Caenorhabditis elegans: one gene and its partner. The protein of the gene in region 1 purifies or fractionates together with the protein of each later gene. This does not show direct contact. Each region holds a gene or a part of one and is shown in the gene's direction. Other genes may lie near its edges.

Region 1 (4,381 bases):
TCTCCTCCTGGCTTTCCAGCGGTTCCTGGTCCTCCTGGGTTTCCGTCAGCTCCTGGTGCTCCAGCAGCTCCTGGTGGTCCCTTTGGTCCAGCTGGTCCTGGTCCTCCGGTTCCTGGGGCTCCGTCATTTCCGGCTGGTCCGGCTGGTCCTGGTGGTCCAGCTGGTCCTGGCTCTCCTGGTCCTCCTTGCTCGGATGCTCCTGGTTCTCCTGGTCCTCCTGGGGCTCCTGGGGCTCCGTCGTTTCCGGCTGGTCCTGCTGGTCCTGGTGGTCCGGCTGGTCCTGGGCCTGATGGTCCGGCTGGTGATCCTGGGTTTCCATCTGGTCCCGGTGGTCCTGGTGGTCCGGCTGGACCAGCTGGTCCTGGTGGTCCTCCTGGGCATGGTTGGCATGGTGGTTGAGTAACTGGCTCACATGGAGCTGATGCTCCTTTTCCTGGATTTCCTGGGGCTCCTGGAGCTCCTGGCTTTCCTGGCTTTCCTGGTTTTCCGGGAGATCCACCTGGTCCTGGTGGTCCAGGATTGCAGCATCCATCACATCCTCCGCCGCCTGAAAATGTATTCAAATACTTAAACTCTGTGAACCAAGATCCTTACCTCCGCCTCCGCCTCCTCCAGCTCCTCCAGTGGAATAAGCTTGACGAGCAACACGAGTATTGTTTCCTGGAGCATCCTTAATAAGATGCACCTCACTCCAGATATCACGAGCAGAAACCTTGCAGAAATTAACATCAGTGTGAATCTGTTTCTTCACATTATTAACATAGTTATAAACCATTGGCAATGTGATGAAAACAGAGACAACGGCGACAACCGAGAAGGTGACTGCCGAATAGGCAACAAATTTATAAGCTTTGATACGAGCGTCGATGTCCATGATTACTGTTGGAGGGTGAGTGATGGACTGAAGAATTCCAAAAGAACTGATGTTTTTATACTAGAGACGTCCATGGCTATTACTTGGAACTGGTATAATTGTTCTTGTTAAGGAGAAAGAAAAGAGAAAGAATAAGAGGATCCAGTTCTGTGTTATCACTCCATTGGTTAAAGATACTGGTTTATTATTGTAAACTATATCAGTTTCTCGAAGAAAAAAAATTTGACGTAATTATTGGCTGGAAACTTCAATTACAAAAATGCAAATATTAAGGGGCAACTTCTGTTTATCAATATACCGACTGGAAATGATCTAACCATTGTAGGAAAATTCAATTCTATTGTATATTAATCGTGTTTGAAATTATATCTCAAAAGTTCCAACAATTCCTTCATTCTGGAATCTCCGGAAATCAGTTTCCTCGCGAGTGCAGCGTCTCTGTAATGTAAGTGCGCTCCAATCACAATTGCTATAGCGGGAAAATTCAAATGTGACTTCTCTCTCTCTCTCTCGATATTGTTTTTACTCAAATTTCTATTTTCGTTTTTTTTTTCATAAATATTTCTGTAAAAATGTTTTTTCTTCTTTAAGTTGGAAAACAAAGTTCTCAATAGTTGCCAGAATTATTTTTTTAAATTTTATATGCGTCGCCTTCCGTTAGTATATTCAGTTCTGGTCAATTTTATTCGCTCATTACAGTTTCTTGACAATGTTTGGAGATCGAAGAAAAACGGGCGGCTTGAATCTCAACGGACGTGCCTCAATCGCTATCACTCCGACTAAAAGATTCACCGATTATACTGGATCAACATCAGTCAGAAAGTAAAAATATCCAATTTCGTGCGATGAAGAACTAATCTAATTTGCAGAACTGACGCTCGCCCCAGTCTGAGTCAACCTCGTGTGTCATTGTTTAATACTAAAAATTCATCAGTTGCTCCGCGAGATGTGAAATCATTGGTCAGCTTAAATGGAAGCAAAATTTACAACTTTCTTGTGGAATATGAAAGCTCGGATGCACCATCAGAACAGCTCATTATGAAACCTCGTGGAAAGAATGATTTCATTGCTTGTTTCGAATTAATTTACCAACATCTCAGTAAAGACTACGAATTTCCACGGCATGAGCGGATTGAAGAGGAGGTGTCCCAGATATTCAAAGGTCTTGGATACCCGTATCCACTCAAAAACAGCTACTACCAACCAATGGGATCTTCTCATGGATATCCACATCTTCTTGACGCACTTTCTTGGCTTATTGATATCATTAGAGTTAGTAACTGATTTTTTTATTATTTTCATCCCTATTTATTTAACCATTTAGATCAATTCTGCTGTCAGTGAGGACACACAAAATATCCTGTTCGGTGATTTCATGGAACAGGGAAAAGCTCAAGAAAAAACGCTCAATTATGCATGGATGACAAGTACATTCAGAGATTATACAAATGATCGAAAAGCAGCAGAAAATCCCAGTTCTTCATACTGGGACGACACGAAGCATCGTCTACGGAAGTATTTCGAGCAATCCAATGAATTCGAGGATATGACTAAAACAGCTGCATCAGCTCTGGAGATGCTCAATTACGAATGTGATGAGATAGAGGCTGATGTAAGTAGAATTTCGATACTTTTGTTTTAAAGAAGTTTTATTTTCAGAAAGGAAACGAAGCAAGCTTAAAAGAAGAGATATCAAGAATCAGAGACGACATCCGAAAAGCTAAAGATTATCTCGAGCAAAATCTTCATGTTAAGCAGCATATGGAGAAAGAACTGGCTATGGTGAAGTCGGAGCAAGAGGAGAAAATTTCAGAAAATGAAAAAGTGCAAAAGATGGTGGACGATCTGAAGAACAAAATTGAGTTGCAAAAACAAATTCACGGATTGACAGGAAAAGAAGTGCGTCAAATGAATCTTGACAATAATAAAGACAAGGAGGTGGTACTGGAAATTCAAAGCGAGTTGGATCGTCTATCAAAAGAAACATGGAAACTCAAAGATGAAGACTTCTTCAAAGAGGTATTCTAGGTTTTTGGAAAGTTGAATGCCTATCATTCACGGAAATACTTGTATGACAATCAAATTTGTATGTTTCAGCAAAAGTCCAAATTCATTCATCTCGCAGAACAAATCATGAAAATTCTCAGTGGACTTAATATTCAAATGAATCTTGAACCACTAAGAGCTCCAACGAATGAAAGGTAAATTTCTAACAATTTATTAAAAATTCACAAATCTACATTTTCAGAGATCTTAAGGATTACTGGGAGACGTTGAACAAGATATGGGTTCCAGAGATCAGCCGACAGTTGCATCAGAGAAAGCTTGAGCTTGAGACTGAACAGTCAAGATTTTCAAATAAAGCAGTTACCGCAGAGTAAGTTGTACTCGAATTAAGCGCCGTTCCATTGAATGTTAATAATATACACATTTATAAACAATAATTCAGAGAAAGAATCCAAATTCAAAGCGAAACACTCTGTGAAGCGAAGAAGAATGAGGCTCGCGAAGAACGAATTCGTCGAAACGAACGTGATAGCTGGAAAGATGCTCGCAAACATATTGAACAACGATATGAACAACTATTGAATGAAAAAGAAGTACTTCTAAAGCAAATGAAACTTGATGGAAGCCTCGAGAAAGAAATCGAAGATGAGACCGCCAGAATGTCTGCAACTGGAGAAGAACACATACAAAAGAGATCTCAATTGGAAGCTGGAATCCGGCAAATATTGGATCTGATGGTAGTGGAAATCGCCGAGATTGAGGTAGGTCCTGTCAATTTTACTGAGCTATTCTATTTTTCATTTTTTCAGAACAAAAAGATAGGATTCCACGTGCAATGTGCTGGCATTGAAAAGGCGGTTCTTTAGTCTCCTTTGGCATAATCATTCTGTGAATAATACTAGCTTTCATTAAAAGAAAAAAAAAATGACTCTAACATTTATTTCTGTGGTTTAGACTTATTTTATAAAAAGCCAATGAACAATGATTTCCAGCAAAGCGAACTTTAATATATTACACAAAAAATGGTTTCAAGCAAGTTTAATAACAATGTGGTTCCTCTTTGTGCTTCACACCGATTTCCATGTTAGGAACTCCTAAGTCAAACCACTTATTCACCTGAAAAATTATTTTGATGGAGTATGAAGTATCATCAATTACCTGCATCCCCTTGTTCACATAATTGTCTGGGACAGTGAAAGTAATCTTGCGTCGACAAACTTTGGAAGATGAACGACAATTGTGATATATACGTAGTTGGGGATCAATTGCAGTTATTGAAATTGCAAATCCAGATACTTCGAAAGTTCCGTCTTCGTTTACATGGGTTTCAGCAATAAGATCGTCTGGATCGACTGAAAATTGAATTTTTTGTAGTTTTTTGAAGCAATGTTTTATAACGGTTTTGTGGGGATCGTCCCCACAAAAATAGACGAGAGATCCTGTTTTTTAAGTGAACAATGTTTTATCATAATTTGTTCTTGTTTTGGTATTCACTTGAAT
Region 2 (3,347 bases), on another chromosome or scaffold:
CTCAAAAGTGAAGGGTGTGATGCGGAGAGTTCGATGATAAGATCGGAGAATCTCGTAAATTTCAACAGCATCCATTATACTAGCCGTTGGAATCGGAATATCCTGACTAGATTCTGGTAGTTCGAGTTTTGGTAGACTTGCAGGATCTTCATCCAACCACGGACAATACTTGTTCTCCTCGTCGAGACCTTTTTCGATTTTAATATCTGTTAAATTCAACTCTTCCTCTTCCTCCTGAACAACCTGATCCTCATTTAGCATGAACTCATCGTCCGAAGATTCTTCTTCTTCTTCAGAATCCTCATCCATGTAGATAATGTCTTCTTCTTGGCGTTTTAGCGATTTGCGACGTGGTGGAGTTGGATTTTTTTTGGGTCGGCTGAAAATTGATGGAATTTATTTTTAATCTGAACAGGCAGATTTATATAGCTTCTAAATATTCTTAATTTTGCAAAATTGGGATTTTTCAGAAAAATTCCCAATTTTTTGGAAAAAAAATCCATGATTGTGAAAAAAAAATCTCAATTTTTGAGTAAAATTCCATTTTTCTGAAAACAAAATTTAATTTTTTTGCGGAACACTTTATTTTTGTTTTTCTTGATTATGCAAATTGTAGCCTCGTTTTCAGGCGTTTTTCCGCAAAACTATCATAAAAAGAATTTTGAATTTTCGATTTCTGAAAAAATGAGAAAAAATCAAGAAAACCCGAAAAATTGGCCGGAGAACGCAAGCATAGTTCCTTCGGAATTTGAATATTTGCAAAAATTCGAAACATTTTGCAGTTGTATTCGGTATTACCCAGGCGCGAAAATATGATCTCGAAACGACAAATTTTTGTACATCGCAAATGGGTTTGCATAGTTTTTCTTTAAATCTAAATAATTTGTTGTGAACGACGTGAAAAAGCGTATTATACGTTTTTTCGATTGAAAATTTGACGAAAGCGGAAATATCCTAAGAATTTGCGTTAAAACTTGAAAAAAGCATTTAATTGAAAATTATCTGAAATCAGCGGAATTTCTGAAATTATTTTTCTTCTTGATTTCTCACCCTCTAGCCTTCGAGGTACTCTTTGGTGCTGGTGTTGACGCAGGTGTAGATCTAACCGAGATCTCTTCAATCTTCACCTCCACCTCCTCGGCGTCTGATGGTGTTTCCCGTTGAGCCGCACGTTTTTTTGTTGGCGGTGGACTGTAACCGTCGTCAAAATAACGTTTCGGAAGTCGACTGCGGCGTGGACGAGATGATGATGTGGATTCTGATGGGTCTTCTGAATCGGCAATTGAAGAATTTCCGGATTCAGACGGATGCTTTCGCTTTGAACGGCCACGTGGTGGAGCCATCTGAAAAAATTTCGAAACTTTTCGAAAATCGATAAGCTTAAGAATGTTCGTCAAAAAATATTGAAAGCCTCGAAAGGAATAAATTTAAAATCAAATTAGAACACTGGTAATTGTGAAAAAGAGCTTGAAATCCAAGAAAAAAAGATTTTACGTCATCATATGGTCTTTGGAGGAAAATCAATAAAATTTGCGAGAAATGACAATCGGAATATAACATTATTAGATAAAAATACATTAAAAAAGGATCCAGGATTGGTAAACTACAGTACGAAATCTTAATTTTTGAAGCTGAAAAAATCGATAATGGGATAAAACTCATTTTCCAGCGGAAAATCGGCTTTTCTCAAGTGGAAACATAAAAAACAATGGGAAAAAAGGAAAAATAATAATTTTCCGAAATTTTCCTTCACTTTTCCGTCTAAATAATCAGTTTGGACACTTTTTTGAACGCGCCGCGCCGTAAATCGACTCAGTGCGAGAGGCACACCCTAAAGGCGCACACATTTATTTGCAATGGTCGCGACGAGACCTTGGCCCTCTTGACGCGGGAATTTGAGTTGGAATTTATCTTTGCTAATTTTGCTGTCGCATTTTTATTTATTTATCTTAGTTTTTAACCGATTTTCATTGAATTTTTGCAGGTTTTTCGGCAAAATGGAGTCACTCAACGAGTATATGGACAAGATTATTAATCGTCTTAAGGCAGTCAATGAGAAAGACGAATTAGTTGATGAAGGAATGCGGAAACTCCAAAAATGCCAGGAAAAAATTATGAAAACGAGAATCGATGCTCAAAAACATATCGATGGTAAATTTGCAAGGAAATTGTTTAGATGTGTGCATAAAACAAAACATTTGTTCAGAACGCCACGAGCAACAGTCATTCGAACAACAGCTACTGAACAAAAATATGTTTGAAACTGAGCAACTGGAAGAAAAACTAAAAAGATTGGACGATGAGAACAAAATTGGAAATGAGCGGGAATTTAACAGTAAGCTGATAGTCTTTGAAACAATTTATCTGATTTACTCCAGAAAAATTGGAAGCAATATCTGCGAAGTGGACGGATGACGTCAATCTCTTGAAAACCACGCCGAATGAGCCTAACGATGGGAATAGAAAGAAATTGTAAGGGATTTAATTAAAAATAAGTTTTGTGAAGAAACTGCTCAAAAGTTTTTAAAATCTGGACTAAAATCTTCAGTTTTGCCTACTTTACTGTGTGGCTGGCAGCAGTCGGAACTTAATGTTTATTTAATTATTATTATGCGGGCGGCACTGAAGAGCGGTAAAAATTTTGATATTTCACCACCAGACTCGTTTATATAGGTCCATTTTAAAGCTATTTAACCAAAAAATCCTTCTTTATAAACTAAACGTGTATTTTTTTCAGATCGAACCTCTCCAACATCTTGGTCTAACTCTGGTTTTCATCCACGTATCAATTATGCCTTCTTTTCATGTATATTAAATCATTTCATTTATTATATTGTTATCATCATCACATTTCAATAGTTTCCAATTGTTCCGTAGAAGGTATTAGGGAAACTCTTCTCTCTTCCGTTCGAGGAAAATTTGTTCAAAAGTTCCCAGGTGTTAGCGGAAGATTGTGGATTTTCTTGTGATGTCGTGGTTTCTACAGGAGCCGGTCTCACTCTTGCCAGGGATTCTTCAGAAGAAGAGGATGATGATGAGGAAGACGAGGACGACGACGAAGAAGACGATGAAGATGTGGAGGAGGATGGACAAGAAGCAGAAGCTCTCCGATTCAAAGTTTTCGGGCAAAATTCTCCATTTGGATTCACCTCGCAATCGTGATGAATTTTCCACGCGATGAACTTGTCCAGGTACACATTTCTATAATTGGAATTTTTCTATAATATTTGGAACATTTTTATCTCTGACAACCCGGATGCAATGGGGCCTGCCTACAATCGACGCCTTTTCTCTGTCTTCCCTGGATTTTGGATCTCGCTGCAAACTTTCTCGCAGCTTTCGGAATG

Evidence for each region.
Region 2: the proteins of ndc-80 (region 1) and kbp-3 purify together in Caenorhabditis elegans (affinity purification with mass spectrometry, with the first as the bait; one study listed by BioGRID). This does not show direct contact.

Annotation. Positions count from the first base shown.
Region 1 is NC_003282.8:10,084,564-10,088,944, forward strand, and holds ndc-80 (Kinetochore protein ndc-80), read left to right. Parts: upstream 1-1,573; 5' UTR 1,574-1,583; coding exon 1,584-1,696; intron 1,697-1,743; coding exon 1,744-2,146; intron 2,147-2,198; coding exon 2,199-2,486; intron 2,487-2,533; coding exon 2,534-2,893; intron 2,894-2,971; coding exon 2,972-3,075; intron 3,076-3,122; coding exon 3,123-3,251; intron 3,252-3,323; coding exon 3,324-3,642; intron 3,643-3,690; coding exon 3,691-3,747; 3' UTR 3,748-3,874; downstream 3,875-4,381. Other genes in the region: col-2 (Cuticle collagen 2), read right to left, coding at 1-547, 595-874; ttr-39 (Transthyretin-like family protein), read right to left, coding at 3,920-3,997, 4,040-4,233. UniProt on the Caenorhabditis elegans protein: Acts as a component of the essential kinetochore-associated ndc-80 complex, which is required for chromosome segregation in mitosis and meiosis and spindle checkpoint activity.
Region 2 is NC_003280.10:14,388,716-14,392,062, reverse strand, and holds kbp-3 (Kinetochore-binding protein 3), read left to right. Parts: upstream 1-1,984; 5' UTR 1,985-1,997; coding exon 1,998-2,151; intron 2,152-2,206; coding exon 2,207-2,335; intron 2,336-2,378; coding exon 2,379-2,472; intron 2,473-2,737; coding exon 2,738-2,765; 3' UTR 2,766-2,827; downstream 2,828-3,347. Other genes in the region: nurf-1 (DDT domain-containing protein), read right to left, coding at 1-379, 1,051-1,343; F26H11.8 (uncharacterized protein), read right to left, coding at 3,239-3,347.